Arabidopsis thaliana: one gene and its partners. The protein of the gene in region 2 interacts with the protein of the main gene of each other region in a pairwise test. Each region holds a gene or a part of one and is shown on either strand. Other genes may lie near its edges. The genes, in order: AT1G74840, HD2C and NF-YA5.

Region 1 (10,922 bases), on a different chromosome or scaffold from region 2:
TTGAGTTGAATCTTAGACTTTGTAAGAAGAATTTCATAGACGATCATGTTAACATGCAGATATATCCCAAGGAGATAGTAGAAGTAGGGGATGGGGACATGAGTTCTTCGAGAGAGTGATCTATCAACAAAATAACGATCAAAACCATTTTTGCAAGTGCACATCATGATGGTGGTCATGTGCAAAACATAGATGATATGTGGCTTTTATTTTTTCCTAAATAAAACCCAAGAAGATGTGTTTATCATCTTGTATTTTTCTCTATATATTAACTTTTTTCAAAACTTTCCTAACTAGTTGGGAACTTGGGAGGCTAACGGTAACGGACTTATTATGATGAAAATAGAATTGCTATTGTAAGTATTACTAGATTTGTCCATAAAAAAAAAACACTGACTTTTGTTATTCATTTAAGTAAACTCATAAAAGATTACATTTTTAGAGGAACCATATAGAGACCATTATTTTAAGCAGTAAACTTTGACCTGAGCATGTTGATTGTTTTACTATCCGCCTTAAACGCCGATATCAATACCTCGTTTGGAATCGCGGGTTTCGTAGCCAACAGAGTGTGAGGCACACCAACCTCGCTAGGCAAGTCGTCAGCAACCACCGTCAAAAGACGGCATTGCGTTTTCCCAACGTTCCCCTCGTAATGAATGAGTCCCGGAGGAATCACAAACATATCACCGGGTCCAATAACCTTCGAGTACAACGTGTAGTTAGTCGTTAAGAACCCAACCAAGACCGAGCCTTCGATCACGACCCCTGCCTCGGTTACACCGGGGTGAGAGTGAGGTTGGTTGTATCCTCCAGGTGCAATTGCAACGTTATACATGGATATTCCCAAAGTGTTTAGGCCTGGAAAGGTCAAGAGATTGGCTGGATTAGCGGCAATACCTTTTGGGTTCGAGGTGTTTAAAGGAGTGTTCAAGCCGGAATAAAAGAAGTCTTCAGAGGTGACTTGTGACTTGCAAGGGTAACCACTGTTAGTTGGGGTAGCTTGGAGATCAGCTACACAAAAGTCTTGGAAAGGGTTAAGTTTTAGGGCTGGGAGTGAGAGAGTAGGGTTCGTGAAGAGAGTGATGCATAATGCGAGGAAGATTAAAACTATTGAGAGAAAAGAAGAGATTTGTGAAATATGAGCCATTGCTAGTGAGTGAGATGATTATGGTTGATGATGATAAATGACGATGTTAATTGGTAGATTATATAGCATTAGAGATTAGTTTTTTTTTGGATCGACCTTATAGCTTCATTAGACTAAAATAAGATGGGATTAAAGGAAAACACAAGAAAAGATTAAATCTTTATGAGTGTTGGGTTTAATTTTATGCAATTCTTTAATGGCTTCAATTTTTAAGCAAAGCATATATGGCTATGCCAAAATAAATTAGGTTCAAAATAAACCCTAGCTCACGGAGACCTAGCTAGTCAAGTGGCTAGAGCTATGATATATATATGGCTGAAACAAGTTAGGTACAATTAACTCTCGCTCCTTGATCACTAAATTAAAAATGTCGAATGTCTCCATTTATAAGTTGAAATATTTGATTGTACGTTCTCTATAAATAAAAATATAATAGTTTTAGTTTTAAAATTTGAATTATGAAGGAAAATGATATAATTTATTTATGTTTACATTTTGTATTAGCATTTAAAATTTGTAAAAAAGTCAATCCTTAACGAAATAATTTGTTTATGTTCAGTGTTAAGATTCATTTACACTCAACAAAATGTTTATGGAAAATGAAAATGTTATACCTATTTGAAATGTGAAAATATGTAAGAATATAAAAATCCCATCTAAATACAAACTCAAAATGTTATACCTATTGAAATTGTGAAAACATTTTAGAAAAATTTCACATCTAAATACAAATGCAAAACTGAAAACTTTTTTATTTTTTGGGTATGAAGTACAAAACTGAAACTAGGTTAGGTTCATGGAGCAAACTGAAACTTTTTAATGTGAAAGAATAAAAGAAATGTTTTCAAGTTGAGACAAGGCGTGAAAGCTTGCTTGTTCTCTAAGAAATGGAAAAAAATTGTATTACAAGTTCATGGATTCAGAAGGCATAGCAACAAAACTACGAAGCATGTGCAAATTCTGAGATATCTGCAATAGAATTGCTTCTCCTTCACTAACATCCAAAACATCAGCAATGTGTTTCAATAAATCACCATTTGATTGAAGAGTACTTAGTCTCTCTGTGATCTCTGAAAGCTCTTTTACTATCCCTTCTTTGCTTTCACTCCCTGCCCAATTTCATAACAACAACACAAGATTAAAAAGGGTTTTTAGGATCAGATTAAACAACACATAATGATCAAACTTTGAGTAAAGAATCATACCTTTTTCTTCATCTGCAGAGACAACATTCTCCGCGGTAGACTCCTCTGACCTTTTCGATTGCCCATTTTGATCGATGTTTTCGCCATTTTCCTGCTGATTTGAAGAAGAGACAGCCAAATCCGAGACTGGTTTGGTTTCTTGGCAATCATCATATGCACTAGCATTGCCGTTTTGTTTATGAAACTCTTCCCTTGCATCTTCTTGATCAGTCAAACATCCATATTTCTCTCTGTAAACCTCAAATTCAGCTTCAAGCTCCTTCATTTCCTCTTCCCTCTTCGCCAATTCACTACTCATAGACTGCAAAGCTTCTTGGTCATACTCTGCTTGTTCATCCATCATTCTTTGGTACTGCAAAGCCTCCATTTGAACAGCAGCTTTCTCGGCTTGAAGCCTCGTGATCATAGCCATCGCTTCGTTGGCTGCAACAGCTGAAGCACTTCTCTCTTCATCTAACTCCATATATAAATCAATGAGTGACTTCTTGTCCAAGCGAACCTCTTTCTTGAGCTGATTAAGAATGGATTCACCGGTTGGATCTGTCGTGTCCGAAGCATTCTCTGTCTTATTCAAAACGGATTTCTTAAGAGATCGAACGGACCATCGTGGACTGTTTTGCGCCGAATCAGACAGAGGGATCCCAAAAAACTTGTTACCTCCTCTTACAAAACTTGGTGTTCGGTCCACATCCATATCCTTAAACTCAGATTCGTTTTCAGACAGTTTGTTGTGCGATACCCTAGGAGAAGGAGCAGGAGCAAGGAAAGAATTGTTGTTCTTCGGTAACTTCTCAGATTTTATCTTCAATAATTCTCCACAACACGAACAATGTTGCTTCAAGCTATCATTTTTAATGTTGTTAGTCTTGTAATCCACCAGATTTTTTGTTGTCTGGACTAAATTGTCGTCTTTCTTGAACGCCAAGGGAAGGTCTCGTTCATCGTCAATGAGAAGCTCGAGATCTTTATGTAAGATGCCAATGAGAGACTTATAAGTATCACAGTCAGAATCTTTCTCGGTGGCGAAAGAGAGAAGACATCCTTCACACATATGTTTAATCTCAGAGAGCTTCTTATGGACATGGCAATAAGCAAGAGAAGATACTTTCTTCTTGTGAGAGTCGCAGATTGACTCGTTGTAATAGAATTGAGGGTCTCTAGGGACGAGAATGTGGTCGATTCTGGTGCAGAGAAGACAAGGAATGTTGAGGTCGAAGAATTTGGCGAATTGGTTTGACAGAAAGGCGATAACGCCGTCGATGAAGAGGAAAACAATGAGGCTCCATTCAAGAACAGTGTAGATGAGGAAATGAGGAAGAGATCCGAGTTCTTGTTCCACAAATTTCTTGAAAGAACGTTTAGACATTGTGGCTTGTAAAAGCAGAAACAAGAACAAGAAAAAACAGAGCAATTGTATATACATAGGAGATCGAATTTTGGTCAAAGATCAACAAAGAACAGAGATCATGATCTATCTATCTCAATCTTTTGTGATTTGTGTTTCTATTTCTGGGTTTAGAGAGTCTAGATTGGGCTGGAATTTGATGAGATAAAGTACCCAAAAACAAAGGATAGTCGCAGATTTGAAATTGATAAATTTAGAGACAATGTCAAAAGACAGAGAGATACAAAACAAACAAAGATAAACTGGATTCGTTTTTTTTTTTTTTTTCCCCGCTTAGACGTGAGGAGAAGTTTGTCGTTGACGCTAAAACTGAATACAACCATACACGACAGAAACAGAGGACATGCCAACACACACATGACATACACATATACATCATCATCATATAAAAATGATGCTGTTTGATTGGTCGATTAATGAATGGGGATCATGTTCTGTGATTGGAAGATTATTGCTTACGCAACAGGGGTAATATGTAATCATCCCACACAAAATATATTAAAAGCATCTGATGGGAAAAGAAAAAGCTCCACTATGATGGAAGTGACCAATAAAATTTGACATTATTGGCATCATTAAAGATAATGACATTATTCTACAAACATAAAATATCTTATCCTTGGAAATCAGATATATTATAAAAACCCTAAAACCCCATGAATCATCTAACATGATTTAGATAGCCACATGATAAGCAAGTACTACGACTCTGTTTATGATTGAGATCATGAATAAAACAAACATAACGTTAATATGATTTATAAGTTTTGATAGATCCACACGAATGAACTTAGAGAGTATTACAACAACTTCCAAACATGGAAGGAAAAACACAGGATGATTATGAACCCTAAAACCCCACTTAAGTCCTATCTCCAAACTCTGTTTATTATTCTTCTTTTCAACAGATTTTTTTTAGCCAAATACATAAATTTGACGAATTTTTTTATAACAAAGTCAAGACCTATCTGTACAGCAAAGAAACAAACAGGGTGTGTTGCAGATTTTCACCTTTAGGATAAGCTCTAAGCGACTCCAATCGTGTTGAATGCTGGATGCATTGAAGGAGATGGTTCATTAAGATTAGATGAAGCTAGTGAGAGGTTGAGAGAAAGCGGTGCTGGACTTGACTGAAAAGTTAATGGAACCAAATTGATGAGATTCGATGAAGTAAGCTGTCCGTATGATTGATTCCCTGTTGGTACCGGGAACTCGGGAAAGACTTGCATAACCGGATGTATAGAGAAGTTGTTGATTTCCGGTACAGGAGAAGATGATTGAGATGTGTTCTCCTGTATAAGCACTTGGTGATCTTCTTCCATGGGTATGACCTGATAACAAAACCAAGCAAAATCAGTTTTGTTATACTTAAGTTTTCACTAACCAACAATTCACAAAGGCTCTCTATTAGTTTCTTTTAAACAACTAAGCTAAAAACTAAACCTAACCACTTAACTTACTAGAGTCACAAAGGATTAGAGATTTACCGTATCAGTAGTCATGTCAAAAAGGCTAGATCTTCGGCGGCGACGGTTAAGATTACTTCGCCTGAGGAAGTATTTCTGAGCATGACTAGCAACTTGTGTAGAGGTTCTGGTCTTGACAAAGTTTCTTGATATTCCTTTCCAATCTCCTTTACCGACTCTCTGCAGCCCAAGCAAGAACAGCTTGTGTTCTTCTTCAGTCCATGGAACTCCTAAGAAATAGAAAGAAACCCAATAAATTAGCCATCTTTCTAAATCCAAATGAACATAAAGTTGTTCATAGTCCATTTCTCAAACCATATCTAACAAATCCCTAAGTTTAAAGTGATCAAATTTATGGAATGATAAAAAAAAGTTTCAATCGAAGAGTAATACCTCGTTTCCTCTCGATTTTGCCGTTAGAAGAAGACATGGGAAGAGCTTCATCCGCCGAGGCGTAACCGGCCGGGGTTTTGTTCATATCTTGTTCATCTCTATCTTCGCCGTCGATCTTTGGAGTCTCCGCCGTCTGTTCATAGTCAGACAGATTGTTCAAACTCACGCACTTTCTCATCGGGTCAAGCACAACCCTGACTCCGAACAGCATAATCTCTCTTCTTGTGCCGCTTCCAGCGCAGGCGGTAGTGGACTCCGAAGAACTAGTACTACCGTCGGCCATGATAATCTTTCCGATTTTGCCCCTTGTGCTTTCTTTCTCCTAAAGAAGCAAAGTACACAGAGCAATGGGCAATGGAGTGGTGTGAGTTAGATCTGAGCTTCTTTGGGGACCCTTTTATAAGCCAAAAGCCACGTGGTTCCTTTTTAAACTATTACATGTTGTAGGTGTTGGTGACGGTACCATATGACACGTGTTTTGTTTTTATTCGTCTGTTCTTGTATTTTTTTCTTACCTGCCTGTCTCTCTACAGAGTTTTCATTTGGATAGACTTTTTTTATTCATTGGCTGACTAGATTTATTAGGTTTTTTGTTAGTAGTTTAATTAATCTTATAGGATGACGAAAAAAGAGTTAAATAAATGTTATCCTATAATAAGAAGTTAAAAAAGTATTTCGCTATGTCGACCAAAAAATGTAGGTCGTATAACGAAGAAATATTTATTGACTTTCGCAAACTCAAAGTTAAATACAAAAAAATGAAATAACAGAATGAGAAAAATGAAATGAAATCGACGCTTTTATTTTTCTTAACGTTACCCTCATGTATTTTTATGATAAAAATCTACAGGTTATAATGTACTGGTCAACGCAATGTCTCTAAGGCCTAAGCGCATGCAACTTGAGCTTAGAAAAATAGTCAGCTTCTGAAATGATTCTGTACTCTGCTCTAATAATCTATTTAGTTACAGCTCCATCCTTGTACTTTTTTTTCTTCTAAAATACTATATCTTGTGGATCTATGAGTTGATTATTAAGAAAAAAATCTTGGGAGACAGGTGAATCCTTTTTGGAAATTATAACTTTGAATTTCAACACAAAAACTTACAATTTCAGGAATCTAATTCAACAACAAAAATGATTGTGTAGTCGAATTTGTCGTTTTCTAGCTAAGAGTAAATTTTAAGACGCTGTTAAGGACCTAATTGTAGTATAAACAGCATGATCGTATGTCCAGACTTGATCACAACTATATAGCATTAAAAAACAAAAAGGTGATAGTTTTAGTCTTTTAGTAGAATGTTAGGATGTGATTTGACTGTAAGCAATATGATCACATACTATTATTATTTATCTATTTTAGATTTGTAGGGAAAAGATTCTAAAAAGTATTTACAAAATTTGGTAAATAGTTTTGGAAGACAGCAAAATCACACAAAGCACTAGCATCGGTTAGAAAGCAAAGCCACCATTACTTTTATGCGCACACAAAGTGGAATCTTAAAGTTGTAATGTGTGAAGCACTATAGGAAGATCCTTTCTTTCTCCAATCTTTTTCTTATTTTATTACCAATTTGGATGACAAACTTGTAGTGACTTTCCTAAATCAGAAAACAAACACATATCTGAGGACGAGAGAGAGAAAAAGATTAATCAGACCGAAGAAGGAATCTTGCACAACAGATTGTTTTCTTTATTCTGGGTGGAGTTGGGTCATTGCTATGTAATAAGTTAGATTTCGAAACAGAGAGAGTTCATCAGGTGAGGTCACAAGCAAAAACTAGAGCTTCCCTGAGGAATCTTGATTAATAGATCCTTTAATTGTAACTAGAGCTTTGATCTTACATTAGCATTTAGCTTTATAGTAATCAAAAACATAGTTGAATGGAAAAAAAAACGAAAAAAAATCTATGGCTGCAAAATCATGGGTCTAACAATCCATCAAAACACTTAGTTGGCTACTTACTTGAGATTTTCATATAGACGCTTCTTCATATAAACTAAGATCACCATTTATCTTCTTCTCCAGCTTCTTCTGTCTAACAGAGGTTGACTCTACTGCTTGAAACCATAGCATAGTTATCATGGATATGGAGTGCTTGTGAAATACGCCCACAGTTTTCACCCACCAGTCTATATGGAGGAAGGCAGAAGAGGCCTTTGATTTCTGGACTTGGCAACAGAAACTACGTTGTCTAGTTCTTAAGCTGTGCTCCCTGCTAGTTCTTTTTTCGTCCTGGTTCTTCGTTGTGTAGGGTTACCGCTGTGGTTCGTGTCACTGCTTGTTGAAGCTCTTGTTCCAGCCGCAAATATTGGCGAGTTTGCTAATGCCACTAGGTTTTTATTTTCGGATTCTTCTGAAGTTGGCTCTTTCGTTGACAGTAACTGCTTGAGCTGAGATCGCTGGCACATAATGCGACCTCCATTCCATCCCGTGAAGGAAAATGAGGACGAGACATGATCCTGCAAGAAGGAGAAAGCAGCTTTCGCGATAGGAGATTCTCTTGCAGCAGAGCTTTTCTCCAACTGTCCCCGTCTGAGAGGTTAGAAAGAAAGAATTAAAAAAGGCAAAAGGCAAGATAAAAAGCTTGAAGGCATCTTGCAATGAGGTAGGTACCCAGTATCAAAATACTTACACTGAAACAACAACAGCTAGTTGAGGAAGATCTCCCTTTAAAAGCATATCATTTATATCATTTAGCCAAACCGATAGTGCTGTATACATGCCACCCTCTGACATCCTGCAGAACATTGAAAACCAAGAATTAGATTGACTGGTACTCAACCATTTCATACACATGAAACGAAGCCAGTGTAGGGATCTTAGGCTACCTATGTACATCGACAGACCACACAAGTTTGTTTTTCCGGAATAACTCAGGGAAAAGTCCACGCTTTGTTGCCTCATTGAGTACTCTTGCAGCTCGCTCTTTCTGGCCCAGCCACCACAAAGCATCCAGAAGTGCATTGTAAAACCTTATTCCCAAACCACATCCTTCTGAATTGAGTTTGTCCAACACGTATTCCACTATCTGCCAATTTGAGTCATCATCATAATCTCCCTTGATCATTTGCCCAATAACTTGATGAATATTTGATACTCTATTTGAAAGCATCTCCTCCAATAACTCATTGACATCGTCCCACCTATAAACCAAAAAAAAAATTTGAAGTGTTGCTTAAAATCTTAAGATGTTATATACAAAACAATGGCTAAAGTTACTGCTTATCCAGAACACTCAAGTTAGCTGCAAGAAAATTAACTAGGGTGCTACATTACACTAGCATATCTCCCCCATGCCTGACCATGTATAGACAGAAGGCAACTGAAAGAGCAAAATGCTATGATGATGGAATAAATCATCATGCTTAGTAAGGTATGAGCTATAAAAATACACGCAAAAGAAAACATCAGAAACCGTGTATTACTGGCGAAGGCACTAACCTCTCCGTCTTCCCATAAACAGCTAGCATCATACAGTAGCACATGATACTGGGCAGTATATCAGAAGCTTTCATCTCCTCAAACTGCTCTCTGCACTCATCAACAAGCCGCGCAAAAGAATACACACTTAAAACAGCCTCAAGCGTCCTTTCATCAGGATCGCATCTTGACTTCTCCATATCTACATATGTCTTCACAGCCTCTTCAAATTTGCCTCCTTGCTTGTACGCTTCTATCTGTGCATTGAACGTATCTCTGTTCCTGGGAATACCAGAATCCACCAACCTGGACAAAATCGCCTCAGACTCCTTGACCAGTCCTCCCCTTGCAAACGAATATAACAGTGAGTGGAATGTTTCAATACTTGGATTGCTTCCTACTTCATGCATGGTGTTGAAAGCAACAAGCGCTTCTTCATATAAAGCAGCCTGCCCAAACGCTTCAATAACCCCAGTGTACGCCTTGGAACTTGGCACGATATCGTTAGCTGTCATATATTGTAAGATCTTCCTAGCATCTTCGTGAAGTCCCCCCTTCCCACAAGCAAATATTATACCCTCATATGTCTCCATGTCCGGTTCAATATTCTCCTCCACCATATCATGGAACAAAGTTACCACCTCCTTAAAATACCCCCCTTCCCCAAAAACCTCAATCAAAATGTTATATGTAGCAGCATCAGGATCCGTATTGCTTGATTTCATCTCAAGAAAAAGCTGCCTCACATCATCATACCTCCCACTCTGTCCAAACAAATTCAGCAAAACACTGTATGTATTTGCGTTCGGCGTACACCCTGCAGCTTGCATCTGATGGAAGACCCCCATTGCCTCCTTAATAGACCCGGATTTCGCATATGCCTCTAACAACACATTATAAGAAGTGATATCCGGCAAACTACCGCCGGAGGCCATCTCGCCTAAAAGATCACATACTTTCTCCAGCCGGCGTAACTTCCCAAATGTCTCAACTAGATGACTATATGTGGTTAAATCCGGAACAATCCCACCATCATTCATAGTCCTAAAAACCATTTCAGCCTCATCACCTAAACCTCTAATAGCACAAGCACTAAGCAGTGTATTATAAGTCACGATATCAGGTTGTATCCCCTCATGTCTCATCTCTGCAAACAAACCCAATAAACCCTCCCAATCTAAACCACCTCTAGCACAAGCATTAATCACAGTGTTGTAAGTCAAAATACTAGGTGATATCTTTTCATTCTTCATCCTATCAAGAAGCTCAAGAGAAGTCTCATACCGTCCATTTCGACCATAAGCATTGATCAAAGCAGTGTAAGAGAAAACGCTGCGGGACACACCTTGGCTAGGCATTTCGTCGAATACCTCAAGACATTTATCTAGTAGACCTTCTCTACCAAGCAAAGAGATCATAATAGTGTAGATATGCTCGTTAGGTTTGCACCATATCTGCCGTTGCATATACTTGAAGAGACGAAGCGACCTTTGCCAATCGCCGCGACCAGCGAACTCTTTGAACACGAGTGCGAAATCGTTCAACGAAAGCTTGTTTTTGAATATGTCTAAGCACCTGGCGATGCTCCCGCGTGGTGGGAGACTGCTCAGCTTGTTAATCAGCGATTCGACGTCGTAGCTGTACTTTCCTTTCTCCACGGAGACGGAGGGGTTCCCGAGAACGAGATCTTTAGTCTTTGCTTTGATTTTACCGGAGAAGGAGCATGGTTTACGATTTCCTCCTGAGAGGAAACGGAGACGGTTGCCGTCGGCGAATCTCCGGTTTCCGATGAAGCTTGAATTCTGGATGAGGAAGGAGAGGTGGTGTGAGTTGGGATTTGGAATTGCTAGGTTCATTTTGGGTAACTAGAGTTCACATA
Region 2 (11,309 bases):
GCTTGTCTCACAAGAGGAATAAAATATCAAAATCAAAACATTGGACACAACAATTTCTAATTTAGATTCAAACCTTGACTGTATATTTTTTGTCAACCAATAAGTTTGGAGATTTTAGATCTCTATGCACAATTGGAGGATTGCGATTGTGAAGATAATTCATTCCCTTAGCCTGTGACAGAGAATTGGAAAGAAAGTTCCATGTGAAGAAACACCAAGATCAGGAAGTAATCACCCATACATGTAACATAAGGAATTAAACATACCACATCATAAGCCATACTCAGGCGACGTCTCTCATCTAATTGCTCCCTTGCTCCACTTTTATGCAAAAGTCTGTATAAACTACCTCTGTTTGAAAGAAATCATGGTATTAGAGTCATTATAGGCCAAAATTCTACACTCAGTACATCAAACCTTCCAAATCCAAGTAATTGTACCTTGACAAATATTCTGTCACTATTGACAAATTTGGAGGTTGAGTGACCGCACCCATGAAGAGAACAATGTTAGGGTGGCGAAGGCGTTTCATTATCGCAACCTGACAGCGAATCAAGATCATTGGAGACATTAATACAACAAGTTCATTACCAAAATCAAGAGAAAATTTTATTTGTGCACCTCTCTTAAGAACTCATTAACACGCTCAGCATGGAAGTCTTGCTCCATGAGAATTTTCACAGCAACATCCTGAAATTGATAGAGAATATTACTGCAATAATCAAAATTAGAATTCTTCTAGTGATAGAATTGTAAAATTCAAACAGGAAGACAAATTTATGATATAAAGACACATATACATCTAAAATGGGACACCTTTTGTCCGTGTTTAATTTCTGACAGAACGGAGAGTCACATATACAATAACTTTGCCTTTTATAATACCAAGCAGATCCAAAAGTCACAACCAAATTTTTAGAGCGAAAAAAAATTCAGCTGCGTAAATTCTGACAAAAAAGTTCTTACCGAGCCATGCCACTCAGCACGGTGGACAGTGCCAAAGGAACCTGAAAGAGCAGTCGCTCAAATTAGAGTGGAAGAATTAAAGGCAACAGAGAAGAATGTAATCTCAAAATGGGTGGCACTTTTTCCTTATTTTGTTCGAGAACAGAGTCCAAAGCAAAACCACTTCCTCAAGAATTTCATATTTCTTTGCATTTTTAGACCGAATCATTAATTTTTCCGTAAAATTATTACCTGCTCCAATCTTTTCTTTTATATTAAGATCACACCACGGGATGTCCATATCATCACCATCAAGTCCAAGTTCCCTATTTGCCCTGTTTGGAACTGGCTGACTGATTGGTGGGGCATTCATAGGTGCTGCTTCAATTTGATTTGACGCACGCATCATGTTCTGTGGAGGCATATTAGCACTGGGTGGCAAAGACCCACCACCATTTTCTGCCAATGCGTCATTCTCTCCACCCGGATTATCATATTGCCTATGAAACATTGAGAATCCCATATCATCTACAACCATTCAAACAAGCAGATATAAGAAATTAGAGTCCAGAAGACAAGTCTTGCACATAAATGCACTAGAATTCATAAGCTTGAACAGCAGACTAACAAGTTTAACCTTAAATATCATTAGGCAAAGAACCCACCAACAAACATACACATCAACAGCCAAAAACAACTAAAGTGAAAAGAGACAAGAAAACAAACAATAGAATCATTCTAAGACTACTAACACTTCAGATACTGAGACATGATCAAGAAATACCCTAAATGATAGGAGATTACTCTTTTAGGGGAAATACAAAACGAGATGTAAGCAGCATGCAAAAAGTTAACATATTATTCAGGTTTTTTGTATGGGAATACCTGATGCAGGATCGAAAACAAGATTAAGAGACTGGCTATCGGAGAAATATTGTTTGGCTAGTAACCTAAAATCGACTGCGGGTTCAACTGGCTTTGGTCGTGGAAACCGCAGAGGAGAAGAAATTGAGATAGATGAAGGACCATTTAGCAAGGAATCAGGCTCCCATAAGTGACCTGGCTTTCCTACTAAATCAACCAGGTACTCCCTGAAACCAAAACAAATTTTCCACGTCATCAACCTAATATTCTGCGAAACATTTGGAGCTATAATTGTTTTTCCAGAAACAAAAAGCAAAGAAAATAGGAAAATAAAGGCTCTTTCGCAATCACTTGTATCATACCTATCAAGCCCAAACCTGACAAGGCACGAAGCGGCATCGTCTCTATTACAATATTTACATCCTTTGGCAATTCGACAGGGTAAATCAATTATGTCAGCCAGTACCTGCATGCACCAAATAGAAGATATAAAATACTTTTTTTCTTTGGAACATTCAACTATCAGTAACCTATTTTTTTCTAATCAATAACACCACTTTTCACATTCAACGTTCTTCATATGTATTCCAATAAAAACAAATGGATGAAGCACAATAATTTATATGATCATTTCACAAGATGTCTTAAATGTCATGGGGATAGCATCAAAGTTGGGATCTCACTTTGAAGAGTAAAGCTCGATGTCTGCAGAGTCCAACAGAGAGGCTACCTATGGGAACCACCACTTTAAAGATTTCTTTTAGACCATCAATGCACTCCTTCCACATGGGAACCAACTCATCTTCCCCCATGATAACTGGACCCCTGGGGAAGCAAGAATTAACGAGTACAATGTGAGAAATCACAGGAAGATATAAAAATATAAGTTCAAAGGGATAGTAAGGATTGTATGAGTACAAACCCCATACGATTGCAGATAAGCTTTGCCAGCTGATCAACAACCTCTTTTGTGGTAATGCAGCTACAAGATATGTCGTGGACTCTATTGTGAAGTTCCTTGAAGGCTGGATCACTACGCCTATCAACTATGATCGCTTCAAGCGAAGAATCAACACCAGAATCAACAGCTCTTAATGATTCAATTGAAGGGATGCGACCACTTTCATGCAGGTCGATGCATAAGGTCCAAATATAGGGATCCAGACCATTCATCATATAAAACCCATCAGGAACTTTATCATAGTACGATAAGCAGCCATTAACCTGATGCAGCACACAAAACAATCATACTCTGCAATGTATCTAAACAACATATCTCATTTGCTACTAATAGACTTTTGGTAAGGAGATCTAACTGAAACTTCGGAAACAAGAGGACCATATCTCTATAACCACGATTCAATAATTTTGGGAAACAAAGCTTAACAGGAACAAATACCCAGAAACGATGTGAAACGGTTTCGGCTGAACTTGGCGAAGTCCGTAAAGCAGACTCGTCCGGTACAGGATCCAGAAAGTTCGGATCGTCGGCACAAGTAGCCTCCGACGAAAGCCTTAACGCCAATGCAAGCTGCAGCTGATAACTCTCCTCCGTCTGCTGCGCCCAGCTCTTCCCAGATGAAGACCCTCCAGCGGAGTCCGCCGCCATCTGTATCCTCAAATCTCCTCCACCACCACCAAATCCAAGCCTAAACCCATCATCTTGAGGAAATCCAACAGATTCGATCTCGTTAGCCGCCGCAGAAAGCGTAGGCATGTAATAATCCCCAGACAAAGAGCTCTCACCGAAACTACTCCCACTGGATTGCCTTTGCAACCCTAGAGACGAAGCATACATATTATTCCCAACCCGATTCGGTTGATTATTCAACCTATGATCACCACCACCACCACCGCTAGGATCCCAATCAAATCCGCCTCTCTCCGCCTTAGCTTTCCCGGTGTTCCCGCTGTTATGGTTGCTCCTGTTTTCGCTCGACAAGGAATCATAGTGAGGCGGAGGAGCTCCGGTGACGGAAACTGACACCTGATCGTCAGAAAATTGACTAAGCAAAGTGTAATTAGATCTTCTACCGGGCATTTCCATGGAAAAGAGAGTTATCGCGATCTAGATGAGAGAGTTTCCCGATCATATAAACATCAAACCCTAGGAAACCGCCATTGTTGAAGAAGTTTGGCGAGCTAGCTAGCCACTTGTTTCTCTCTCTAGTTTTTCATTTTTTTTTTGTACTTTTTAAAAAAGTCTCTCTCTCTCTCTCTCTCTCTCTCTCTCTCTAATGGAATTGGATTTTTTTTTTGTTTTTGCGTTATCATAGGAAATAAACTTACTCGGTGCGTTTCTGTTGATAATTTCGTTATATTCCTCTTTTGTCCTCCTTTTTATGGAACTTTGACATTTTTTTTATTTTTTGTCAAAACAATTCTCCAATTTAGTTTGTTTTTTAGTGTATTATTATTTGTCTAATTTTTGTATTCGACTATGATATCTATTCATATGTTTTGTGCTAATTTAATCGCTAATAAAACTGTTTAAACAATTAATTTGGTATTTCATATTTTGGTGATAAGCAACTGAAATTGGAAGATAAAAAGTAGTATCGTAGTGAAAGTAGAAAACGCAAAGCTAAAAGAGGAACATACACAGTGTAAAATACTAAACCATCTTGCCTATCAAATCCAAATACTATCAAATTTGATCTTTTACACCAATCTGAATCCGTAACATTGGATCCAAGTTTCGTATACCTAAACATGAAATTTTCATTCGGCTCTACGTAGTCTAAAAAACTCGACATAAAATAAATAAAAAGCCTTTATAACGTCCACAATATTTAGAATAGAAAGTGAGAGAATGGACTATAATAAAATAATTGGAGTCGAGGGGGATGTATTCGTGTATGCGAAAATGGATGGGCTCTTCTGTCTTTATATTCCTTAATTTGTCTATTCAAACACATTCGTATTTCTGGTCTTCGGCCTGCGACTTCTATACCATGCATGCATCTTATCTCTCTCTTTTTTTTTTTTTTTCGTTTTCTTTTCTACTTCTCCATTTTTTTTTAATTTGGTTATTTTTATTGCCTTTATGTTTTTTGTGTATTATATATAAATGAACTAATAATACTTCATTATGTTTCGTGTTATTATAAGTGAATTTTTCACAACCATTACAAAAAATTATCTTTTGCTTAAAAGTTAACTTTGGATTATAGTACTTCATAAAAATGTAAAGATTTTGATCAAGTACTTATCAACGCAGCTTGGGTAGTCAATGTGCTGTCATTAATTTATCTATCAAGCTATCCACGCAGCTTGGACAATAAATAAATATTTAAATTCTATTGCATATTTATATCATTTGATCCGCTAAGGTTCATCGAATACTGCCAGGTTCATTGCACTCAACGCATTTTTGTCATTAACTTACGTTTTTTAGCCATGGCTGCTGAGAATATAAAGTTGCTACTATGTAAAGAAACTTTTGGGTTTGATCATATTTGTGCACAAAAAAAAATAAAAAAAAAATCATACTTTTAAAACTAGTATTAATCCAAAAAGTGCTAAAACATAACAAAAAAAAATTCTCCTTAACTACTATACAAACATATATTTTTTTATGCGCATAAATTAAAACTTAACAATTGATTATGATCACATATGTTGAAAAAAATCGAAATTATGTGTGATATGTAAAACCGGAGTATAATATTGGTAAACTATAAATTTAAGAGCATTGGAAAATGTTCATGATTCATGCCGAGAACTCTTCTAAATCTAAACACGAGAGGCCCCGAATAGATCTAACTAAAATGAATTGTGTTTAATATAATAATAGTGTTCCTTAATTCTCACTCGTGCAACTATCCATTTAATAATTTTAATTATTCGTAGTCGGGGACCGTACTTAGTTTTATCATATAAACTCTTCACAGATTTTGTTAACTGGTTTTTCTTTGGATTAGAAAAAAATTAAAACTTTGCGATACATTATGCTCAATTTATCCGTGGGACTTATTTTGAGGAATGGAGATAGATATTGTCATGAAGACATGAATATATAGACCCCACATGTTGACGAAAACTCCGTCAGTCAAATAAAGTGTTAAAAGTCCGTTACGATCCGTCCTGACACCGTTAAAAAAAGCCGTCAAAATAAAGTATGGGCTTGAAACGTTAGTTTTGTTGGGCTAATTTTAAAATCATGGCCCAACTAAAGGAGATATTCGAGTGGACCGCGTAACAGAGGATCCCTAAAATCCCTTCCTCCGATTAATAAATTCCAGCGGACATTTTAGCCTTCTCACATCAACACGCCCTAAAACCGCTCTCGAGAGACGAATCGCTCTCAGCTTCTTCTAGAACCTTCTCCTTCTCCTTCGACGCATCGTCGCCTTCAAGATCACACTACCTCGCACAACAATGGAGTTCTGGGGTAAAAAACATCTCCTATCTTACTCCTTCTTCTTCTTCGTTCTCTGCGCTTCATTTCCTGCATTTAGTTTTTTTTTAGCTTCTGGTTTCATCGCTTTTTTTCGTTTTGCCATGTTTTTCTACTGTTTTTTCTATGGAATCTTCTGTTTAGCTAAACGAGAAACGGGAATAGTGAGTATATGTGACAATCTAGGGTATGGACTGTTCGTCTTCGTAGAAAATTGGGGAAAACTGAAAAGTTTTCTCTCTCGCTAGGTTTTAACTCCGATAGAGGTTTCATTTGGGGATTTTGTTGCAGAATTACTGATTTGTATGCTTTCTATGCGTTTGCAGGTGTTGAAGTTAAGAATGGCAAACCACTTCACCTAGATCCTGGGCTAGACAGGCTCGTGCACATCTCTCAGGTACTTTTGAATTTGCAAGCTTAATTTGATTTATAAGAATGTATTTTACAGTGACGTTTGGTTTATTTTTGTTGAAGGTTGCTTTGGGAGAGAGTAAGAACAATGTAACCGAACCAATCCAGCTTTACGTGACTGTTGGATCGGATAAGCTTCTCATTGGAACGCTATCTCATGAGAAGTTTCCTCAGCTGTCTACGGAGATTGTCTTGGAAAGGAACTTTGCGCTGTCTCATACTTGGAAGAATGGGAGCGTTTTCTTCTCTGGTTACAAAGTTGATGCATCTGATCCATATCCTTTACTATTTGAACATTTTTGTTGTTATCGCTTTAAGCTTTGTTGATGAAAATGTTTTGGGGACTTGTTGCTTTACTCTGTTTTTGACTTCCTTGACTCTATCTCACCGAGCCTGAGGATTTGATTGATGATCAACTTGAGGCTGCTGGTTTCAAAGGTAAATGGGGACTTTTATATCCAGTCCTGCAATGATTTGTCTCCAGTTGTCTTATTTTAGTTTATTTAAGAACATCAATCTCTTATAAATTTATTTGGCCTTGGTTGAGCCAGCTGCTCCGAAATCTGCTGCGAAACAGGTGAACTTTCAGTTGCCAAATGAAGATGTCAAAGCCAAGCAAGATGATGACGCTGACGGTAGTGAAGAAGATTCTTCAGATGATGATGATAGTGAAAACTCTGGAGACGAGGAGGTACTTTTATCTATATATACTAGCTCAATTTGTTATAGAATTTTACTTAGGCTCAGTGACATGTTGATTAAACCTATAGACAGTGGTACTAGAGTTATCTTAAGTATGTTTGTAACTTCTATATTTGCATTTTCACATGAACCCTTGATTACCTATTGTGTTTTAGCCCATTCTCACATTTCTTTAATCCTTATCATGGCTGCTTTGTTTCAGGAAGAGAAGGTTACTGCTGAATCTGACAGTGAGGAAGATGACTCATCAGACGACGAAGAAGATGACTCCTCAGAAGAGGAAACCCCAAAGAAGGTAACATGACAGTCTCTTTTATGTGCTTGTTGATGGGAAACCTATATTTGTTCTATCTTATCTTCCTTTGGGAGCAATTTCTCTGCTTCTGTGGTCAAGCTCGAATCTGATTCTAAGTTTTCTTGGTTTATAAAAGCCTGAAGAACCCAAGAAGAGGTCTGCAGAACCCAACTCCTCCAAGAACCCTGCGTCCAACAAGAAGGCTAAGTTTGTAACTCCTCAGAAAACAGGTGATTAAATCCTTTTTACCAATCTCCCCATTGAATACTTATTTTAACGATAGAAAGGAAGATTGATTTGTTTAATTAAAAAACATTCGGACAAAGCAGATTCGAAGAAACCGCATGTCCATGTTGCAACTCCTCATCCCTCAAAACAGGCGGGTAAGAATTCTGGTGGAGGCAGCACTGGAGAGACATCGAAGCAGCAGCAGACACCGAAGTCTGCAGGAGCGTTTGGGTGCAAGTCGTGCACCAGAACCTTTACTTCGGAAATGGGATTGCAGTCTCACACAAAGGCCAAACACAGTGCAGCTGCTTGAGAAGAAGAAGCAGCATGATGACTACTCTCTATAATATCTACTCTAGAACTTTGATGTCTTTTGGTACTTAAATCTGGAACTTGCGAGTGAGCCAGTTTTAGTTGGTCTTTTTTTTCAGGCATTTCTTCCTGTTTAACTTTATCGTTTTGGTAGCTGAAACTGTGCTAAACCTTTGTTTGTGTTTAGTGGTATGGATATTAAGTCTTTTTGTAGACTTTTCTAGTGAAAATCTACATTTGAAATTCTCTGTCCAAAACATACATTGATTGAAGATTAGTTAGCATGTCACTTTGTAACATAATCTAATGGACCCGAAATTAAGGATTTTTAGGGCTTGTGGTTAATATGCAGCTACTACACCAGTTTGCGTATATAAATATAATAGGAAGAGAAAAATAATAACAAGCAGGTTTGCCCGAGTGGTTAAGGGGGAAGACTTAAGTTCTTCTGCACATAAGTGCGCGTGGGTTCGAACCCCACAGCCTGCATTTCCCCTCTATTTTGTTAAAATTAATAAACTTGTTGTGTTCCTTCCACTTTTGCTGTCTTCCAAAGGTTTCCAACTTCCGCTTCGTATTTCTCTGATTGTGAATTAACCAAATCACACCAAGAATCATAATACTAATTGGTTTTCATGTAGAGTTTCCTTTTTTGCGGTTTTCATGTTGAAGAAAAAAAGGAAACGCAAGTATTAGTTTTCTTTTAATCGAGCTTACTTTTTAAGCTGCTTTGCTCTTTATATACAGATTGCTCTGTTTTGTAAGAAGCTAAGTTTTGGGTTTTGCCTTAATGCAGCGACTACGGCGTTTCGTCTGTGGTAATGTCGGAATAACAATGGAAGTATTCGATGAACCTGATGAGGAAGAAGAACGCCAAATTAGCCAATACATCGATGTGGTAGACTCACCTAGGGTTTCACAGAACGAGAGTGAGTATCAAAGAAGGTCATCAGAAAGTGTTTGTTCATCATCGTCTTCAGGATTGCAGGAGGATAAAGAATCATTATGTTCGATCTGTATGGAAGTTTGGACCAACGGTGGCGTTGTTCGTCTACCAGCTGCACCTTGTCTTGTTCTTGGGATCTCAACAACTATCACAATGTTTATGCTGGACTACAGAATGGAATGGTTTTAGTATTTGACATGCGTCAAAACAGAGGACCTTTGGTTTCGTTGGCTGACGTAACAAGCAATTCGGTTCATATTGTAGATGGATTTCATGTTTGTCTCAAGAGAAGAGGTGATGGTTCTTATTCTCAGAAACAGTCATCCACACAAGCTATAGTAGATGCCATCAGTTTGCCAAGAACGGCGATTAGACTTTGGCGAGGAAATGACACAACTTTTTGCATCGTATGATGAGTCCACCCGTGAACTCATCTTGCAAGATCCTTGGTCTTTTGCTGTCTCACAACGGTTCGCATTGTCAAGTCAACTTCCGCTTCAAGATGTGAAATACGCTAACCTCAATGGCTCGGGTCTGCTCGGTCTCTTAACCAATGATAGATTCCAGTTTCTTAGAAGCGAATCTCCATGATCGTTGTTGTAGAGATTAAAAAACAGTTTGTTGAAGAGCAAACATATATGTAAAGTGACCAACTTCTCTATCTTTGATTGCTACTATTAGTTATAAAATCTATATAGCTACAATATCCATAAATTGTTTAAAGCTTTGAATCTATTTGTTCAGTTAAGTTCTTTTGTCTAGCGATAAGTCAAAAATCATTTGCCTTCAAGGAATCTGAAAAAAACCTTCAAAGTATATTTCTTCTTTACTATAAGTATCCTTTATCTTCCACACTACACACACCATTTCTGTAACAATGGTATCATCAATTCTCTCTATTCACACCAACAAGAATTTAAATAGCTAGCGAATCCAAAAAGAAAGAAAACAAATCATCTTCTTATCCTCGAGCAATTCGTCGCTCGAAAACTCCTTTTTCCCTTCAATGGTTAGGCACAATTGTCCCAATTTGCCCGAATCCCGCAATGAAGAACGCGATTGCTTGTGCGAAAAGGTATAGATAATAATGATTCTTCCCAAAAAACGCGTCATAACATCCCACAAATAACAGATACATTCCTACACCGAGTTCCAACACATGAATTCTGCCATAACACACAAAAAAGGTAATATTAGAATTGGTTTGGTACAGTTTACCAGTAACCGAAATCAAATTGAAAAAGGGAAGAAGTTTTTTACCTATCTCCAAATCTAAAACGAATAACCTTCTTTGAAGTCTTGGTGGCTGATTTAGCCTTAACATCTCCCAGCTTCTCTGTAACAATCCACTCATTAACTCTTCCTCCTTCGAGTAAACCGATAAAGGTAGCTTTTGTTCTGTGAAGAGACATCACATTCTCGAACAGAATCCAAAAGACCATAAGATGCAATGACCTATAAAATACATGTAACCAACAATTAGAACCCTAATAAGACTTGAGCCCCAAGAAACTCTCCGAAAATGTTTTTTTACCTTGGTGTCCCAACGGCGTTGAGGAGAGTAATGACTGAAGGAATGTAAACCGCTCCCCATTTCGGAACAGTAACTTCCGGTACAAGAACTGTAGCGGGTAAGATCACACAGTAGAAGATGAAGGTAACAATGTGTGCCACTAGCTTTCTAACCACGAAGAAGCTATATATCACATGAACTTTCTTCCACAAAGTCACGTTCTGCCAAAAGAAAGTAAACCGGTTCAGTTTTGTTATGTTATTGTATCTTAAAGACTTTCTAATTCGTGTAGAGGGATTGAAGGAAACCTTATTAGTCATGATTTCGAATGCCATTTTCCTGAAAAGATTAGCTGGACCACATGACCACCTGTGCTGTTGATACCTATAAGCCTTGAATGTACTTGGCAACTCGTTTTTAACCTATAGTTTTTTTAAACAAATAATTATTTCACATGTCAACCTTTAAGTGACTCTATAACCATAGTCTATAAAAAATATATTATACTACCTTCAAAGAACCGAGGTACAAGAATTTCCAACCCTTGAGACTAGCTCTCACGGCCAAATCCATATCTTCCACGGTCGTTCTATCTTTCCAACCACCAGCTTCGTTTAATGCCGATATTCTCCATATTCCCGCAGTTCCTATAATTTATTGTATCGAAACACATTCACAACTTATGAATAAAACG
Region 3 (11,051 bases), on a different chromosome or scaffold from region 2:
AGACAAAAACTTGAGGTTCTCAGTGATACAATTTATGAGGCAAGAGGGTCACACACAGTTCATAAGTCATAAGTAAGAGTGATAATTCCCTAATGATTCACATATACCAAATGACCGATCATATCGCATCTCTTCTCAGACAATGAAGAAGAAGAAACATGGAATCGTCAACAATGCATACCTCTCTTGGAGGAGGCTGTGAGAAGCTGAAATTAACTTTGGATTGAATAGCGAGCTTCACATCATCACAGTCAATGTTGGGTTTGCTAGCATGCTCTGAGTAAACCTGAGCATCTGTCAACACTTCGACCACATACCGGTACCATAACTCCAGAAACTGATGTATCACACGAGGCTCGTAGTCTTCTACACCCATCGACTTAAGCAGAGATTTCACAATCTTAGCATCTCTAGGTACATCTTCTTCACCTTCTCCTGCCATGTTTATCCCTAAACAACTAAAAAAAAAGTAAAGCTACAGAGTCAAATTAAGAACCTTTCTTATACAGAATTGATGTTGCAACAACACAAGTTTCAATCGAATCTCACAAGCAAACATCGTGTAACAGCAACACATTACATAAATCGAATAAATAAGAATTAGAGCTTCACGAATCGGAGATAAGAAAGACAAAGGAGATTCTAACCTAGCTTCATCAATAAGTTCCAAAACACAAGATTATATGCCATAAAGAGGCGATAAATACCTAATGCGAGAGAGAAAGTTTGGTGGAGAGCTAGTGGCAGAAACACGACGGAGAGATTGATGAACGGCGGCGAGGAATCGGGAAATACTAATCTCTGCCACTCTAGATCTGATATTTATGGTTTTGGTTTGTAAATCTGCTGTAACGTTGAGGGTGTAAATGTAATTTAACTAAAACGCTATTTATTACTAGTATTTTGTATTTCACTCGTGCATAGGCCCATTAAAGACCCAAATTAGAACGACGGTCGAATGTATAATATTAAATACCGATAATAGCCTCATTTCTCTTCCGTTTACTTGTCCGTGTGACCGTGTCTACGACGTTGAAATCGAAATTACCACAATGTCCTCGCCGGAGCGTGCTCTCTTGAATCTATTGACGGACATCGCTCTCTCCTTCGACGGCGCAATCCTCGGACTGACTTTAGCTGTTAGCGCCGTCGGTTCTGCTCTCAAGTATGCTTCTACCAACGCCGCGTTGAAGAAGATCAAAGATGCACCCGAAGTCTCCATTTCCGACCTCCGATCACTGCTTCCGGCTTCTGAAGACAAATCAGAGACTAACGATAACAGGAAGAGCAATGATCAGCGAATCGTTGTGGTTCGCGGAGTCGTCAAACCGAAAATTTCCGGTGATGAGGGTTACAAGAACAACAACGTGTTAATCTCTCCGGAGACTGGAGATAAAGCTCTTATCATTCAGAGAACGCAAACTGTACGTTGCTCTAAACCCTAAGTGTTTATGTTTCCCTCAAATTGCAATTGACATTGACCTAATTTTGCTTTGTGTTCTTATCAAAGGCTTAGGTTAAAGAGTTTGGATGATTTCTTCATGATTAGGTGTTCATTGTGATTGATTAAGTTAGGATTATGTAAGTTGGTACTGGTGTGATCTCAGAAGGGAAATGTATGTTTCTAATGTCATCATTTTGTTGTTGACAGTATGTGTATAGTGGATGGAAGAGATTGTTTCAGTCCACTGGTCACCGGTTTATGTTGGAGAGATCATTGCGCAAACACGGTGCTGATTTTACGAGAACGGTAAAGTCTCTCTATCAGCTTCAGAGCTTTCAACTTTGGCTCTGTATCCATGATCAAACTTGTTTTGTGTATCCTTTGCTTTGTGCAGGTCCCATTTGTCATTGTTGGAAAGGATCAGCAATCGAACTCTAGTTTTGTCGCTGTTAACATGGATGGCTCAAGGCAACCTCTTCCGCTTACCACTGTGTATAATCGCTTGCAGCCTATTAATTCTTCGTTTCTTCAAGCCTTTTTGTACCCCGATTATCCTGTGAGTATATATATATTCAAAGAAATTTCTGGTTTTGAGGAACTGATGGTTACTTGTTCTTGGCTAACTTTGTAATCCTTTCTCTTCCAAGGTTGGTCTGCTTGATATAGAGAAGATTTTACCACCTGGGAAAGATATAACAGCTGTTGGCATCTACAGTTTTAATAATGGAGTTCCTGAAATCAAATCGTGCCAAGATCTTCCTTATTTCTTGTGAGATTTTATCTGAATATTTTTCGTTCTTATATATCTGCCTGCGTTCTAGCTCAAATTATTACTTCATCTTCTTCTTTATGTTTTCTCAATCTGTTGATCATTTGACAAGATTTAGTCCATTGTTGCAGAAAGGCTCTATTTGCTGTTCATATATAAATCTTTATGAATAATCTTTGCAGATCAGAGATGACCAAGGACAAGATGATTGAGGACCTTATGGAACAGACCAACTTTATATTCTTGGGCAGCGTTATCTTGGGCATTGTGTCTGTTGGCATCCTTAGCTATGCTGCTGTCAGGTACTGGAGTTGTGAGAGATCAGATTTGGTTTTAGATTTGGGCAATGTTTCGATTTGAAATCTGTTTAACTGTCTTATCTTCAGGACCTGGAATAAATGGAAACAATGGAACCATCAGAGAGAACTGCCACAGAGACCGAACGATTCTGTGGTCGATGATGAACCCGAAGATGCAGATGAAATCCCAGATGGAGAATTGTGTGTGATCTGCGTGTCAAGAAGGAGAGTACCTGCGTTTATTCCCTGTGGACATGTAGTATGTTGCAGGCGATGTGCTTCAACCGTGGAACGAGAGTTAAACCCTAAGTGTCCAGTTTGTCTTCAGAGCATTAGGGGATCTATGCGTGTATATTACTCTTAGTGACCCTGAATCTTCTCTCATTGTATGTAATAGGGTAATGCAATTTGTACTCTCAGAGAATCGGAAGTTAACAAAATAGTTTGACAATGATTTGAAAGTTCGTCAAGTCACTCAATATAGAGTGAGAGATTGTAGAGGATATGAAAGCAAAGTTTTTAAAAGGAAGAAATTTTGTAACCGATAACATAAGTAGCCAAGGATGACTTCCCGTCATGTATCATCACCAGTCTCCGGAGTTTAGCCTGAGTTCTCTCGGAGCAAGGTCTTCTCATGTGCCTCAAGTCCCTGACATGAGAGCTGAGGCATGGTGTGTTGACGGATAACCTGAGAATCTGAACTGCGGGTTTTGGAACATGTTGATACAGTTTGAATTGGAGCTCGGTGAGATCGAACTAGACCCGATTCCGCTTCCACCACCGTGAGGGCTCATAGAGAAATTTTGTCCATTTGCCATTTGAGAAGAACACAGTGAGTTTGATGATTCTTGAAGCTTCTTTGTATTGAGGAAACGTCCACCGGAGCCTCTAGCTCTCTTTAAAGCATGAAGATGGCGAGACTCATGAAGGTACGGCTACAGAAAAAGAAAACAAAACTTTATTACATCAAATCATCAAGATCTTCTGAGTTAGTTTTCCCTCTTTCTCTTTGGTGTTTTAGGCAAAATGGAAAGTGAAAACAGTCATACTTTACGGCATTTGATGAGTTTGTTCTGAGCTTCGAGTTTAGCACGGTGCTTCCTGCGACGGAGAATCGCATGATACTGTTTCGCATTGACAAATATTGGTTCATTCTCTTGAATGTGATGAGGCAATGGCACTCTTGAAGAAACCAAACCCATCATCTCTAAATGTGGCAGCGCCTGCAAAAAGATTTCCCAATCAACCAATCAATGCGCCAGATCGATTCAGAATAGTAAAAGCACAAAAGGCTTCACAGCATATTACCGTTGGTGTTGATGCATATTCAGGAGCCAAGAAACCATTGAAATGTGACGTTTCAGCACATTGAAGAGACCAAGATATTTGACCAGAAGTAGGAGCAGGAAACACAGAGTCTTGAGACACCATCGACGAGGTAGTAATTGACTTAGTATAATTTTCAATAGGCTTTCCCAAGTTTTCGATGTAACCTGAGAGATTGTTATTAACAATGCTGCATCCATAACGCTTATATTCTCCAAAGCTTGCAACTTCACCGCCGCCTGATTCTTCTTCAGTAGATTGTGATGAGGTTGAATCTTGATTTTGCAGCTGCAAACCCGAATGTTTCATCGCGGGTAATTGTGTTGTAGACATTATCATATCCTTAGTCAAGCTGAAAGATTCAGATCCTTGAATATTTGAATTTGTTGTAGGCATTGAGTTTCCCCAAGATGAATCTTCTTTCCTTTGAAACACTTGCATTGTCTTCAAATCTTTACTTCAATAAACTAAATGTCCAAACCAACAAGTCCAGTCATAAATCATATGATATTATTCATGATCCACATAATCAACAAATACAAGAGAGAAATGATACCAAAAGATTATAAAAGCAATCCTAAAACACAGATTCCAGGTTCAATGACACAGTAAGATTGTTTCATGATCTAAAGGGTTCCAAAAGATTCAAACTTTGAACATGGCTAGAACTTACACAACATGCAAACAAAAACTAAAATCGACAGATTAAATTTCTGAGTTTGAACAGATAAAAAAACTCATCAAATCTCATTGAACTTAATGATCCAAGAAAACAGAGAAACCAACCAAAAGATTTTTTTCTCTCATAACTCAAAAATTATTATTTTTAATTATATCATCATAAGTAGAAACTGAGCAACCAAATCATAACATCACTACCAAATAAATTAAGCGAACAAGAAGAGAGAGAGAGAGAGAGAGACCTTTGGTGCTTTGGATTTGGTAAGAAGAGATGGAGAGAAAAAGAAGTTAAGTAATAAGCTTGAGATTATGATGATGATGATGATGATGAATGATGATGATGATGCATGTCTCCTTCCTCAGAACATGGTTGTTTCTTTCTCTTCACTATCTTTCTCTCTCTTCCTCTGTCTCTGCAAATTGGGTATTGGCTATGGCTTAAAAGACTAATCTTGACTCCTTTTCTCTTTTTTTTTTTTTAATTATGGTTTTCTTCTCTCAACAAATGCATATTTATTCACACACAATTTATTAAATATTTTAAAATATTATTTTGTTTCCATTTCTGAATTTATTTGCAGAGTTTGACATTTCTATTTGTGGTATTTTTTCTTATCTTTGTTTATATTGTTTATGTTTCAAAAATTAAGTATATCGAATCAAATCGTGTCACGTAGTGCTTTTATAATTTTCAAATCAGGTTTAGTTTTATTACAAAACAAAATAGAAATATGTAGGCAACAATAAATAATAGAAAAATCTAGTAAAAGATAGATATAAATTTAGAAGTGTGACGCGTGTATAATCTAGACAAGGCTAGAAATATATCTAAATATATAAATGATAGTATTAAAATGTTAGGAAGGAAAATAGAAGACAAGAAAAACCAAAGTAAAAATGTTTATGGTAAATATTTCCATTTATTTCAAAGATGTTTAACACCTTTATTTTTATGTTCATATCAGTGATGTTTTATCAATTTATATGCGATTCTATTCAGCATATATATTACAAGGTTCAAAGATTCTAAATAATATATAGAGGGTATCTGAAGTATCATATTCCTTAATTGTTTCATAACAAAAATGTGCAGAATTCTAAAACATTGTTTATATAGTTGAAGATATGTAATTATGTATTATCTAAGCGTACTTTTTTTTTCTGTCTTTTTGTTTTTGTTTTTGTTTAAGAAGGTGTTTTTTTAATTTAAAAAGCAAAAGTTTAAGTGGAAGGTTGTCAACATCTCTTTATAGCGCAATCAATATAGTAGCATTTAAGCGAATAAATTAAAAATATTTTATATTTGTAGTTGGGGTAATTGATATTATTGCAAGTCAAGCAAAGCAAAGCAAAGCGAAAGAGCCCTTTTTCACATTTCTTGATGCAGCTTCCCCAACACAAAGCAGCAATGAATCGTAATTTCTGCACTATCTCTCTGCATTTAATCCACAACTCTGAATAGTAATTATAAGGAAGACAAAAAAACACTATAAATACACTCCAAAAGAAAGAATATAGTATATAGCAACATTTCTATTTCTTGGACACCTATTTGTAGTTCACTACAATGACACTTTGTTTAACTAGTAATAATTGAAGTAATACGAGACTTTGTATTGTGGGGAAGATTAATTGTTGTTTGCTACACGTACCTTTTACTTATTTGCTTTAGAGAAAAGAAATGCGTAACTATCATGCTTCGAACGAGGGAAGTTACAGGTGTTACTTCAAATATTATTATTATATATCAACAGTATCTAGAAGTTCTTAGAAATCAATTATTTGATTTACCTATGTTTATGTTTATAGACTTACTTAAACTAATATTTTCAAACACGACAAAGTTAATATTTTCGAATCTCCCCTAACCTCGATCCTTAACACACCGCAATAAGATTTATATGCATTTTAGGACAAGACAAGACTAAACCCATTATTAATCTAATAGTTCCAAATTTTAAACATTACGCTTTCAAATCCAATCATAGACGCACTCCACTTTTTCCCTACCATGTCTTAACACGTATATGTAAGATTGAACTACAATCGTTGATTTTCCTTTTCACAAATGAAAAAGTTTTTTTTCCTACCTAACTGTTTTTATATAAATAAAACAAACTCCACACAGAATATGTCATACAACTAAAAGATTTAACGTTAAAGTTTGAATAGGGAGACACAACAGAAGTGAATAAAGAAATGAGATCAGCACGAATCTAATGTAAAATCTAGTCTAATACCTAAACAAACTAAATCACCATCACATCAATTGTGTTCATTTTAGAATAAAAATGAAAAGATTCGGTGCTTTGGAAATAAATAAAAATAAAGTACATTAAATGAAACCAATTCCATCAGCTCGAGACCTTCTCTTGTGCCACCACCATTCATGGTTTTGGCCAAAAGCTAATAAGAGTCTCTTCCTTTGTATGGCATCTCCTGCAATAAAATCAAAGATGTCAGCAAAATCTAACTCTGTTGATCATTTTTTTTTTGTAACTAGACAAAACAAGAATTTTGAAGTAAAGTAGTAAACCGGTTGGTATGGCGTTGGCGGCATGAACAAGATTGGTCTCTGCTGAGTAACCATCATCGGTTGTGGGTACTGTTTTAACATTGATTCCAAAATTCAGTCTTACAATAGAGAGAAGGTAAAGAGTTTTCAAGAGTAATGACTATTAATAGCAATAAACAAACCTGTGGACTATTTGGAGAATAATATGTTTGATTCGGACTAAGCTGTGTTGTATTGTTATACATCATTGGGTGTTGTTGCCCAGGGAATGCTGCTCCCGTCTGTCAATTTTCAACTTAGTGAATCAGAAACATAATAACAGAGACTTAAAGAGTAATTTAGGCGTTGATCACTAGATAAAGAATAAAGAAAAGTTACTCCGTATCGAATATGTAGTCCTGGCATGGGTGGAACAGGAGGATAATAGAATGATCCGTCAAAGACTGGAGATTGAGGAGATTGAGGACGTGTTGCTGATGGAGATGGTTTGAAACTCTTTGCGTTAGGGTTCAGTTTAAATTCCTGGTCGGACCTAATTTCGTTAGTAAAAAGCTTATAGTATTAAGGAGATATTAGATGATAACCTAAGCACTAAGAAAAAAACCTTAGCATTTGGGTTGAGTGTGGATTTTTCTGATGATAAAGAACCCGAAGAGCTTGGTGACAGTATTGGAAGATTTGATGCTGAGGAAGCTGCAGAGTTTTCTGAATTTCTAGAAATGGAGCTTCCAGGCCACCCAGAAGAGTTCTCAGACTTTGCTCTGTCAGAGAGTAGACCGAGTCTTCCATCAATGAAACTTGGCTTCACAGGTGGTGGTGCATCTTCATTGAGGTGGCAATTAAAAACTTAGTAGGAAATTCAATTGGTATCAACATATAAGATGAAACGGGAGTAGATAGATTCGATAAGCTGAAGTTGCACATACCTTCAAAACCAGACACTGATTCCTCAGATGGCTGCGTTAATACAGATTGAAGCCAACAGAACAGTGTTATATGTAATGTTCCATTAAGCAAATGCCAAATCAACACAAGGTGCGTCGTTTAACTTTATACCTTTTTAAAAAGGGAAGCCCCTAGGAATTTGCTCTTTCTTTGCTCACCAAGCTGGCTCTCATTCCTATCAGAATGAGTTTCAGAAACTAGTTCAATGAAAGATATTTTGTATGTTCAAAGGGAAAAAGACCTGATGTTGTTTCCTGCAACAGGAAAATCTTTGGATGGCAGTTCGGACATAAGCTGGCGAGTATGCTTATTTGAGTTCGACCAGCTCTGATCTACCATTTTGTTACTCCGTAAATGCAGGCTGTCACCCTGAAGGACAAAAAATGGCAATATCACCTATGATTCTCCTAGAAACTACTAGGAGTGAAGAACTCAACCATACCCATGAATCTTCATAGAATTTGCCAGTTGAAGCAGGTTCCTTGCCATCAGAAGCAGAAGAATCACCAAAAGTCAAATTGTTGCAGCAATCCAATAATATATCTTCTTCTTCTTCTTCATCGTCTTCATAACACGTATCATCAAATCTATTAGTCGCACAGACCGATGAGTATTTGGTTTCCTCATCAATATCAAACTTTCCACTAAGCTGGAGCCCTCTTTCCTGTGTAAGATGATTGCACGCATGACCATTAGAGGTGAAATATGGTACAACAATAAAACGTAAAAATTCAGTGTCACATAAGACATCCATAATTCACCTCTGCTACGTGAATATCTCGGGTATTCTCACCCACAATCTCTCTCGCAATCCTTAAGGCTTGCTCTTCTAGCTCCCTCGTTCCAGGACCTCTCTCAAGTTTTGTGGTATACAGTTCCTCATCAAAAGTGCTTGTTACTCCAAATAATGTCTTATTGACCTCAAACTGATTCCAGCCCCTACGATATCATCACACACATATAAGATGTCATGAGAAGTGTCGTTAACCCAGGAAGTGTACATGATGAAAGAATAAGAAAAGAGAACAGGGTTAACTAACTGCGGACAGAGGTCTCACACTAACCCGCATGTAATTTTCAATATATGTAAAAAGCTTTTTTATATTCAATTTACTAAGTAAAATGATATTTATTTTGAAAATTACATGTATTATATACTATATTTCTATTTGATTCTGTATAAAAATTAAACTTAAAGTAAAGAAAAATGAAAATTTTATAAACGACAGGCCTACTCGCAAAACCCACCAAAACCCCATATTGGTCCAACCAACTGCAAGGCGGTGTAGCCCGCTTACACAACCTAACCAACCAATGGGAGGAATTGAACTGGGATAAATAAATCTATGGCTACTTGTTAGAGTTAAGAATCAAGAACATGAATAAAATACAAAACTCTTTTTATTAAAAAAAGAATCATAGTACCAAGAATAGAAATCGAGAAAACGATGTTGTCTCCCTCAGCCTAACCCGATACAACCTCCAAAGCACTTTCTAACTTAGTTCACAAAAGTAAACACAGAGGAAAATGAAATAGAGAAAACAGTTTCTATATCAGAAAACAGAAATCCTAACAAAAAGGTAAATATCCTACTTTAATGAATAGCATCATTACCTCTTCCAAGGATCATCAAACACATTCTCCAGATCTGAACAGTCTGGAACATCTTCATCAGGTACCCAAGGTTTCAGCTCTCTTTCCAAATCAACATTATAAAACTGTGATATCAGAGAGTCTGTCAACAGCTCTAAAGGTTTCTCGCACTGAACAGAATCTGAGACGCTATCGCTGGATAGAGGAAGGTCCTAACAAATAGACCAATGACGAAAGAATAATAATGTCAAAACACCAAGTAGTCTTATGTTGTTGCATTCATGTGAACATAAAACCCAATCCCATCTGCAAGAAAGGAGTACATACCTTAGCTATAACTTGCACAAGTTCGTCAGCAGGGATTTTGAGTAGCTTTGAAGATGGCTTGCTGACAGTACGGGATTTGGTTCCTCGTGAATCCCTAATCAAGCATGCCATTTTCAAAATGATTCCTGAAAGTTTCATAGCAGTTTGTAAGGGATAAAAAAAATGTGACCTCTTCTTATATTATATACCATCTCAAAGGAACAAACAGGTTCTCATTCAGAGCCTTACCAAAATCCTTCTCCACATTAGCAGCATGAAATATGCCGCTGTAAACAGATCCATTTTTGAGATGAACTTCTACCTGATGTCCAATATTACAAGTTGTGAAATACACTAACAGCTTCTGAGAAGGGGTATCCACACTTTCAGCGTCCCAACCGTTTTCTGCACATATGTATCAACAAACAAGAGAACGCAGAACATGATGTTGGTGCTACATCAGAGTAAAGGTATATATGTATATGTCTCGAAATATATATACAAAACCTGTATTGTCAACAGAAGGCTGTGCGTTATTCATCCATGCCTCCTTTTCAAATCTCCTGTGTGAAAATCCATTGGATGAAGAACCCGAGTGAAGAACAGGCTTCATAGTTGCTTTAACCTGAAGAAAACGAAAATATCAATAAACGGGTTATTCAATAAGATGATAAAGATAACCGTCTCACGGTACGATGAGCCTAATATGCAAACTGGCCCTCCAATTCGCATTCTTGCTGGCATCAAAACTTCTTTTAGATTTCTTAATGCGATGTAAAAGTTATATTTTTTAGATAGAATGTCACAGTCAATTCCATATTACTAGGGGTTCGTCAACTAAACCCTATACAGAGAAGTAACCTGAATGTTCTGCACATTCCGAGGGAAAAAAGTATGCTATGAATTATCAATGAACTATAGAACTGAAACCATAAAGTAACTCTGATTATGAGCCATGGGAAGAACAACCAAAAACTGCCAATAAGATGTATATTGCTAGCCATTTTCCAGCACAATAGGCATACAACAAAACGTAAAATTAGAAGATTGGTGTTCTATCCACTAACCAAGGATTTGAATCCCATAACTATTTTGCAATGAAATATGTTACATTGAACGTGATTCAATGTTACGAAAGACACAAACTTGCGCAGGCTTCATACATCAAATCA

The links.
Region 1: the proteins of HD2C (region 2) and AT1G74840 interact in a two-hybrid assay, tested with the Arabidopsis thaliana proteins (one large-scale study listed by BioGRID).
Region 3: the proteins of HD2C (region 2) and NF-YA5 interact in a two-hybrid assay, tested with the Arabidopsis thaliana proteins (one large-scale study listed by BioGRID).

Annotation. Positions count from the first base shown.
Region 1 is NC_003070.9:28,111,416-28,122,337, forward strand, and holds AT1G74840 (Homeodomain-like superfamily protein), read right to left. Parts: upstream 6,008-10,922; 5' UTR 5,903-6,007; coding exon 5,620-5,902; intron 5,457-5,619; coding exon 5,248-5,456; intron 5,092-5,247; coding exon 4,786-5,091; 3' UTR 4,028-4,785; downstream 1-4,027. Other genes in the region: BOR5 (HCO3- transporter family), read left to right, coding at 60-119; AT1G74820 (RmlC-like cupins superfamily protein), read right to left, coding at 467-1,150; AT1G74830 (myosin-binding protein, putative (Protein of unknown function, DUF593)), read right to left, coding at 2,054-2,259, 2,356-3,778; PTAC2 (plastid transcriptionally active 2), read right to left, coding at 7,822-8,155, 8,256-8,360, 8,452-8,766, 9,065-10,899.
Region 2 is NC_003076.8:975,805-987,113, forward strand, and holds HD2C (histone deacetylase 2C), read left to right. Parts: upstream 1-6,054; 5' UTR 6,055-6,189; coding exon 6,190-6,202; intron 6,203-6,534; coding exon 6,535-6,605; intron 6,606-6,682; coding exon 6,683-6,894; intron 6,895-7,007; coding exon 7,008-7,057; intron 7,058-7,170; coding exon 7,171-7,310; intron 7,311-7,523; coding exon 7,524-7,616; intron 7,617-7,752; coding exon 7,753-7,846; intron 7,847-7,945; coding exon 7,946-8,157; 3' UTR 8,158-8,485; downstream 8,486-11,309. Other genes in the region: CTR1 (Protein kinase superfamily protein), read right to left, coding at 74-172, 267-351, 441-541, 622-690, 967-1,007, 1,198-1,473, 1,831-2,036, 2,172-2,275 and 3 more; AT5G03750 (E3 ubiquitin-protein ligase), read left to right, coding at 8,992-9,101, 9,215-9,440, 9,520-9,693; ATCSLA09 (Nucleotide-diphospho-sugar transferases superfamily protein), read right to left, coding at 10,106-10,268, 10,363-10,557, 10,637-10,836, 10,924-11,037, 11,126-11,262. UniProt on the Arabidopsis thaliana protein: Probably mediates the deacetylation of lysine residues on the N-terminal part of the core histones (H2A, H2B, H3 and H4).
Region 3 is NC_003070.9:20,214,428-20,225,478, forward strand, and holds NF-YA5 (nuclear factor Y, subunit A5), read right to left. Parts: upstream 5,026-11,051; 5' UTR 4,762-5,025; intron 4,306-4,761; 5' UTR 4,280-4,305; coding exon 3,821-4,279; intron 3,795-3,820; exon of another isoform or gene 3,736-3,794; coding exon 3,562-3,735; exon of another isoform or gene 3,534-3,561; intron 3,448-3,533; coding exon 3,154-3,447; 3' UTR 2,909-3,153; downstream 1-2,908. Other genes in the region: TAFII21 (TATA binding protein associated factor 21kDa subunit), read right to left, coding at 182-442; SPL2 (E3 Ubiquitin ligase family protein), read left to right, coding at 1,053-1,424, 1,652-1,750, 1,839-2,000, 2,092-2,213, 2,396-2,515, 2,600-2,876; CID3 (CTC-interacting domain 3), read right to left, coding at 6,926-6,958, 7,056-7,124, 7,217-7,315, 7,413-7,556, 7,639-7,856, 7,961-7,991, 8,091-8,154, 8,221-8,348 and 6 more. UniProt on the Arabidopsis thaliana protein: Stimulates the transcription of various genes by recognizing and binding to a CCAAT motif in promoters. Involved in the blue light (BL) and abscisic acid (ABA) signaling pathways.